Caenorhabditis elegans: one gene and its partner. The protein of the gene in region 1 purifies or fractionates together with the protein of each later gene. This does not show direct contact. Each region holds a gene or a part of one and is shown on either strand. Other genes may lie near its edges.

Evidence for each region.
Region 2: the proteins of F57B9.8 (region 1) and gcy-17 fractionate together in Caenorhabditis elegans (co-fractionation; one large-scale study listed by BioGRID). This does not show direct contact.

What each region holds. Positions count from the first base shown.
Region 1 is NC_003281.10:6,933,205-6,937,124, forward strand, and holds F57B9.8 (Tyrosine-protein kinase), read right to left. Parts: upstream 2,116-3,920; 5' UTR 2,075-2,115; coding exon 2,018-2,074; intron 1,971-2,017; coding exon 1,752-1,970; intron 1,707-1,751; coding exon 1,542-1,706; intron 1,495-1,541; coding exon 1,183-1,494; intron 1,139-1,182; coding exon 854-1,138; intron 804-853; coding exon 507-803; 3' UTR 457-506; downstream 1-456. Other genes in the region: Cell adhesion protein byn-1, read left to right, coding at 1-7, 54-149, 198-431, 2,324-2,449; coq-2 (4-hydroxybenzoate polyprenyltransferase, mitochondrial), read left to right, coding at 2,778-2,896, 2,940-3,046, 3,362-3,528, 3,573-3,694.
Region 2 is NC_003279.8:2,231,169-2,235,088, forward strand, and holds the start of gcy-17 (Receptor-type guanylate cyclase gcy-17), read right to left. Parts: upstream 1,932-3,920; coding exon 1,893-1,931; intron 1,846-1,892; coding exon 1,679-1,845; intron 427-1,678; coding exon 317-426; intron 264-316; coding exon 16-263; intron 1-15. Other genes in the region: dct-9 (Major sperm protein), read right to left, coding at 2,610-2,687, 2,733-2,807, 2,887-3,072, 3,129-3,234, 3,520-3,604, 3,657-3,678. UniProt on the Caenorhabditis elegans protein: Guanylate cyclase involved in the production of the second messenger cGMP.

The DNA of each region.
Region 1 (3,920 bases):
ATTAGAAGTGAGTTTAACTTAAATATTTTTCATGTATATTCTTTTTTTCTCAGTCTGGAACATGTACACTTCGTGAAGCTGTTATCTTCAGCTCTGTCCTCACCAAAGTCCCGATTCCAATTTTTCATTCCGCTGCTGCTATGCTTAGGGTAACTTTTGTTTTAAAATATCTCATCAAAAACCTGTTGATATTTCAGATTGCCGAAATGGAATACACTGGAGCTAATTCCGTGTTTCTTCGAGCTCTCATTGATAAGAAGTATGCTTTACCGTATCGTGCAGTCGACGGAGTCGTTAATCACTTCATTCGTCTGAAAACCGATGAACGAGATATGCCAGTTTTGTGGCATCAGTGTCTTTTGGCACTGTGCCAGCGATACAAGAACGATTTGAATGCCGAGCAGAAGGCAGCTATTTATGAGCTGATCAGAGTAAGTTTAATTTTTAAAAACTATTAAAACTTCGAGTTTTATTATCACGAGAACATCTAGTTAGGAGAGTTATTTTCATGGCTTCTTCAGTCTCGAATCCTTACCAGACAATGGACCCGAACTAGGCCCAGAGTTGCCACCTGGACCGTTCGATGCGCTTGACGGTTTCTTCTTGTTACGTCTTCCAGTCTTTTTAGCAGTTTTATCTCTCATCGGATCTGACATTGGTCCAGTAGACATCATTTTTGCACGGAGCTGTCCTGTCGACTTGTTGACCGAGGTTTTATCTTTCTTTCCTGTGATTTCGTACATCATCTGGACAACTTGGCTCATAGTGGGGCGCTGTTGAGGATCGCGAATCCAGCACTTTTTCTGGAAAATTCCACATTGCTATGAAAATAGTGGAATGAAATAGAACTTACAATAACATCGGCAAGCATAGCTGGAGCCTTTTGACTAATCGGCATACGGTAATCATCGCGTCCAACCTTCTGATGTACCTGCACCACCAACATCTCCGGATACGGCTGAGCTCCATTCTCGATCACCTCCCAGCAGAGAATCGAGAAAGCAAACACATCAGTTTGTGGAGTATAAAGGAAGGAAACGATCGTTTCTGGTGAGAGCCATCTGATTGGAACTCTTTTGCTCGGATCCATCTGATACTCCGTTCCAACTCGAGATAAACCGAAGTCAGAGACTTTAGCCTGAACGTTATTAGTTATTAACTTTTAAATTATTTATAACATACAACGCCTTTTCCATAGAGTATGTTTCTGGCCGCAATGTCCCTGTGTATAATGTTTTTGCTGTGAATGTATGCCAGACCAGCTGCCACTTGTGCGATTATATCCAGTTTCTCAGGCCATTGTACCGATGAATTCTTCTGAAGATATTTATCCAGAGCACCACCAGGAACTAACTCCATGACTACTAGCAATGGTTCATCGATTGCAGCCACGCCGTAACATTTTACAACGTTCTTGTGATCGAATCCGCGCATCAGACGTGCTTCTGTGATGATCTCCTTGATTTGTTCTTTAGTCACTTTTTCAAGTTTTGCCTGAAGTTTCGTCATTACTTTTTATATAAAAGTCTAGTCCAACTCACAACTTTTATAGCGACATCTACTGTAGTCGATCCCATTTTCAGCGTCCCAAGCTTTACTTCTCCGAAAGCACCTTCACCAAGAACTTTTGTCATTGTAATATCGGCGTGATTCAGTTCCCATGATTGTCTACCGATAGGATTCACTAGAACACTGCTTGCAACTTCCTGAACAACAATAATTAGTCTATAATGTGCATGAATCGCTCGTACCTCACTAATTTTAGCCTGTTTGTGATGATTTACTAACTCAGTCAATGTTCCAAATTTAATTTTATCAGTGATTGAATATGCTCCGTCGCTTGTACGAATCACATAATGAGCAACTTCTTGACTTGTCTCGTTCTGCATCACCGAAATGATCAAATGACGTGCTTGTCCTTGAGGCTCTGACGTTCTCATCAGATAATCGCCATTTTTTTGAAGTAAAAGCTGAAAAAGTCGGTGCTCCTTTTAAATAAATATTACTCTCAAATTACCTTTACTTCTTCTCGTGGAAGAAGTCCGTGAAAGAATGGTTGCTCATTGATCTCCATTGCGCCAATTATGTGAAAAGAGTGTAGAATTAATTTCTACGATTATCGAAATGATTAAAATTTCACTTCTGATCGATCTTATGCGTGTTTTCTTCTTTTTTTTAATTTTTTTCCTGGCGTATGGGTTCACATCATTGGTCACGTAAATTTTTTTTTCATAATTATAAAGTTTAAGTCAGGTAATTTCCGAAGTTTTATGGTCCCATGAGTTCAATGTTTCCATTGTTTTTAACCAATTTCAATTTATAGTTCCATGGACACTATCTCATCTCGCCTGAAATTCGCCGTGAGCTCGAATCCAAGGAAACCGAAGACGGACATGTTATCACTTCAGTTGTGGTCGAAGGCCGAAAGACGGATAGTATGGAATTCTAAATCACACACAAACAGAAAGAGACGCAGAAGAGAAATATTTCCCGCTTTCACTCTATTCTGCACGTAGGCTTTGCTCTTTTCTTCTATTTCCATTATTGTTCGTTTCCCCGCGCCCCTCCCCAAAAATTGTTCATTTCTTTGTTTTTTATTCATCATTGTTGGTTATGTTACTCTCTTCCTCATTCAAATGAAATTGTTGTTGATTTTCTAAATACAAAGTATTAGTTTCAAAGAGCAAAGGTTTTCGTCCCTAACTTAATGCTTGTTTTTTCAAATTCATGTTATCATGTCTTTGACGAGAGAAAGTTTTCAGATTCGTCAAAAAAAAATGATAACCAGGTCAATAGGTATCGCTAGAAGATCCAATTCGATTAATTGCATTGTTGGATCAAATACAAGCACTTCATATAGTTTAGATGAATCAACAAAAAGATGGATTTCCACTAGGTTCAGAATTCGAAAATTTTAATTTTAATTGTTATAATTTTAGTACAAAACAACCAATGTCACTGATACCAACTGCAAGTAGCCTTGTTGCTTCTTCTCCGCCAAATTTGAAGCCATATCTTCAACTGATGAGAGTCGACAAGCCTATCGGTAATTTATTATTACACAGACGCGAAGTTTTGGGAGTTTTGCGCCGAAAATACGATACCTAGTCTCGACGCGATTAATTTTGTAAAATACAAACAAATGTGCGCCTTTAAGAGTACTGTAGTTTTAATCGATTTTGAAAATTCGATGAAAATTCCGCAGCAACGAAAGTTTGGAAGTTACAGTAATCTTTAAAGGCACGCACCTTTCTGCATTCAACAAAATGTTGTCGTGTCGAGACCACGTACTGTACTTTCGGCGCAAAAATTTTCACGTGCGCAATTGGTTTGATTTGAGTCCTTAACGTTTATTTTTCAGGTACCTGGCTCCTGTATTGGCCATGCACATGGAGCATAGCAATGGCAACTCCAGCTGGTCAATTACCATCTATCTACATGCTTTCTTTGTTCGGAGCTGGTGCTTTTTTGATGAGAAGTGCCGGATGTGTTATCAATGATTTGTGGGATAAGGATTTTGATAAGAAGGTTTTTCAAAATGAGAAGTAAAAAAAAACCGAAAACTGTTTCAGGTTGAACGAACGAAACTAAGACCATTAGCATGTGGCTCGTTGACTGAAAAGCAAGCAATTGGGCTTTTGGCAGGACTTCTCAGTTCTTCGCTTGCTATTCTGCTACAATTGAATTGGTACAGGTAAGGCCGGTGGAAATATTTACGAAGTTGAAGGATGAATCCGAAATGAAAGTTTTATCAAAAGCCACGAGGCTGAAATGCATGCGCATGAATTATTTTGCCAAAAACAAGTACGGTTCCCGATCTCGACAAGAAAGTTTTTGTTAATGCGAAAAGATTTGCGCCTTTAAGGATTACTGTTATTAAAAACTTGGTGTGATGTTTTCATATATTTCCTTAACATTTC
Region 2 (3,920 bases), on another chromosome or scaffold:
TTTTCCCCAACTTACCTGCACATCATCCTTAAGTGATTCACACTTCTCATCGTCTCCATCATTACAATACAGGAACACAAACTCCGTCCACTGGAATTGCTTTAAAGTTCCAAGAATTGCCATAGCCAGACTATAGCTATTCACGGAAAATGGTAGAGTTGTAGGAAATCGTTTGACATCGGTTAGTTGTCTAGTCGATGTTAACCCCCACTCGAATATTGGGATGTTGTAGTAAGTAGCGAGAGCGGAGCTGATGAGAGCCGCTGAAAATTGAACAGTTTTTGGATAGGGTCTCTTTTAGAGGGAGAAAGCTTACGTCGAGAACAAGTAGGGCCGAATATGACGTCGACTTTTTTGACTTCAAGTAGATCAACAGTCTTCCCGGCGCCCAGAATTTCATTACACTCGTCAAAGTCCCAAAGGAATCTGGAACGAGGCAATATATGAGATAAGTTTTCGAAAAAAATTGCGGGAATTCAAATTTCCCTTTTTCAAAAATTTCGAAAAGTTCTGGAACCTTCCGAAACTCTTTGGAAACTTTTGGAAACTTCAGGTAAATTCTAGAACATTCTAGAACGTTTCAGAACCGTCTGGAAACTTTTAAAATATTCGAGACATTTTTTGGAACCTCCTGGGAACTGGTGGAAAATTTAAAAACATTTTAGAACTTTTTGAAACTCCCTAAATATTCTAAAAAATTCTGGAACTTTTTTTTAGAAATATCTAGAAATTTTGAAACAAACGTATAAAACCTTCTGAATCGTTTTGGGAACTTCTAGAAAATTCTAGCAAGTACTAGAACCGTCTGGAAACTTTTGAAATGTTCGAGACATTTTTGGAGCCTCCTGAAAACTTTTTGGAAACTTCAGAAAATTTGAAATAATTTCTCAACCTTTTGGAAACTCCCGAAATATTCGAGAAAATTCTGGAAACTTCTGGAAATGTCTAGAAATTTTGAAAAATGCACATTAAACCTTCTGGACCATTTTGCAAATTAAAAAAAAATCTCGAATGATCTGGTATCTATTGGGAACTTTTGGAAACTGAAAAATTTGACAGCATTTTTGAACCTTTTGGGATCTTTTGAAATATTCAAGAAAATTATTGAACCTTCTGGAAAATTCCGGAAGATTTAAGAACAATCTAGGAACCTACTGGAACCTTTTGTGAACTTTTAGAAAAATCTAAAAAGTTCTGGAACCGTACGAAAACTTTTAAAATACTCGATAAATTTCTGGAACCTTTTGAGAACTTCTGGAAAATTTGAAAACAATTTAGGATCATATTGGAACCTTTTGTGAACTTTCAGAAAATTCTTTAAAAAATCTGAAAACTTCTGGAAACTGCTGGAAAATTTGAGAACAATTTAGGAACCTCCTGGAGATTTCTGGAAAATTCGAGAAAATTCTGGAAACTTCTGAAATCTTCTGAAATATTCTAAAAAAATTCTCAAGCATTTTTAAAACTTCTAAAAAATTTAAAACTTCTGAAATAATCTGGAACCTTTTGGAAATATCTAGAAATTTCGAAAAACAACATAAAATTTTCTGGGCCATTTTAGAGCACTAGAAAAAAAATCTGGAATGTTTTGGAACTTGGTGGAAAATTTGAGAACATTTCGGAGCTTTCTGGAAGCTTCTACCACGGCATATCAAGATCTCCTGTAATTCCCACTTACTCAAAATCAAACCCATCCAGCACATGATCCTCCCGAATCTTATTCTTTGTCACCAGAACCGCCGCCGCCGAAGTTCTATACCCAATGCCGACTTGCAAACTTGAAACGTTTTGCACGAATAGGAGACCGACTTTTATTGTTCGACGAGCCTGGCAGTTTGCCAATATCTGGATATCAGATTGTTATTTGAACTTTTGAGACTTTTGAGACTAACCAAAAATGGAGTGAATATGAAGAGTCGTAGAAATAACATTAAAAGAAGCTTGCCCAATGATAAGCTCAACTTATGAAGAGCGAAGAAAAGAGACAAGAAGCCATAAATTCAACTTTATTCCTATTAATCATCATGTTCTTAGAGTAGGCTATATGCAATAATATAATGATTATTATGTCAGCAGCTCTTCAAGGAATCCTTTTCATGGCTCAGGAGGCTCAGAAGCTCAGAAGTCCGTTCTGAGTAAAGAATCACGTCATCAAGGGGCATTGAAAGGTTAAAACTGCTGATATGATGCCGGAATTAAAATTTTCCGACAAATCGGCAACTCGACAAATTTCCGAAATTAAAAATTTCCAGCAAATCGGCAAACCGGCTGGAATTGAACATTTCCGGCAAATCGGCAACTCGACAAATTTCCGAAATTAAAAATTTCCAGCAAATCGGCAAACCGGAAAATTGCCGGAATTGAACATTTCCGGCAAATCGGCAACTCGGCAAATTTCCGAAATTAAAAAATTTCAGCAAATTGGCAAACCGGAAAATTGCCGGAATTGAACATTTCCGGCAAATCGGCAAACCGGCAAATTGCCTAATTTGTCGACAAAAAATTGCCGAACGGGAATCGCCGGCCACCTCTGGGTAGAACCAGTACTTAAAAAAAGAAAAGTATTCAAAAAATTCCATGTTCAATGTATTTATTCTAGTAGTAATCAATCAAATCGCAATTTTTGTGGAGACCGTGGTGGCGGGAGCTTGAACGTTGTTGATTGGAGAAACCAGGGAGATGTTCAACTGGAATATTGATTTTATTGATTTTCAAGATTTTTGAATTTATGCCTTGGTGTAAAGACGCTCCAACGGCCACTCATTGTACGATCGCTTCCAAAGAGCTCGGGCAATTGTACGCGATTCCTGGAAATTTTTAAAATTTTTTCTAAAAATTTTTGGGCGATATTTTCTCCTCTGCCTCGGCCACACCACAAAATCTCACCTTCTCACTAGTCGGCTGAATTTCATCAGGAACTCTCAGACACTCGACGGCCAACTTCAACCGCTTCTGAGTGTACTCTCCGTATGCCAGTGGCCAATCGTCCGACGACATCAGAAACAGTTTGATGACTTTTTTCTCGCCGGGCTTCAGGATTCCACACGACGAGTCGACTTTGAAGATCTTTTCCTGGAAGGTAGGTAGGTAGGTTAGGCGTCGATTTTTGAAGAACAAAACTTCCTTACTCTTGCCTTGATGTTGTATGCAACAGTATGCGGATCACGATTTGCAACAAAGAATCGGACGTAAAGTGGAGTACGGTATTCGTTTTGCGAGTAGAAGAACAGCCATCTGGAAGTTACAGATTTTATTGTAGGCAGGTACATTTTCATGCCTAGGCAGGCGCAGTTTGCTTGCCTACCCCAGGCCTACCTTGCGCCTGCTTGCCTACTTTATGCCTACGTACTTATTTATGCATGTCTACCTATACACCGATCTCACACCTGGCGCCTTGCTTGCCAATTCCAAAGCTGCCTATCTACGCGCCTACATGCCTACCTGTCTCCTCAATCTTAGCTGCCTACATGCCTACCTGCTTGCGTGTCTGTCTCACGCCTGCCTACCTGCCTAACATACCTGGGATAAACGACAAGATCCTGATCAGGGGACGTGCATTTCATTTGCATGGTTGTAACTTCCGCCGATGTTAGCACATTTTTTTCTGAAACTTCCTTTTAGTCTTCCGATTATTGTAGAATCGACCAGAAACTCACCATTTCCCGCAATTTGTGCCATTTTTTGATTTGTCTAGCTTGAGTTTTTGTCCAGAAAAGAAAACGGAGTTCGAATAAGTCGAAATGATTGGATTTGCAAATTTTTTATTGTAAAAACTGATTATTTTCTCAAATTTTTGGCAAGAAAACAAGTGCCACAATTTCACGCAAAATTTGTATTTTTCAAAATTATTTTCCAAAATTTGAAATAAAAATTGCATCGCGACTGAGCGTGAACTAACTGATAGCTTAAGCTTTTAACTT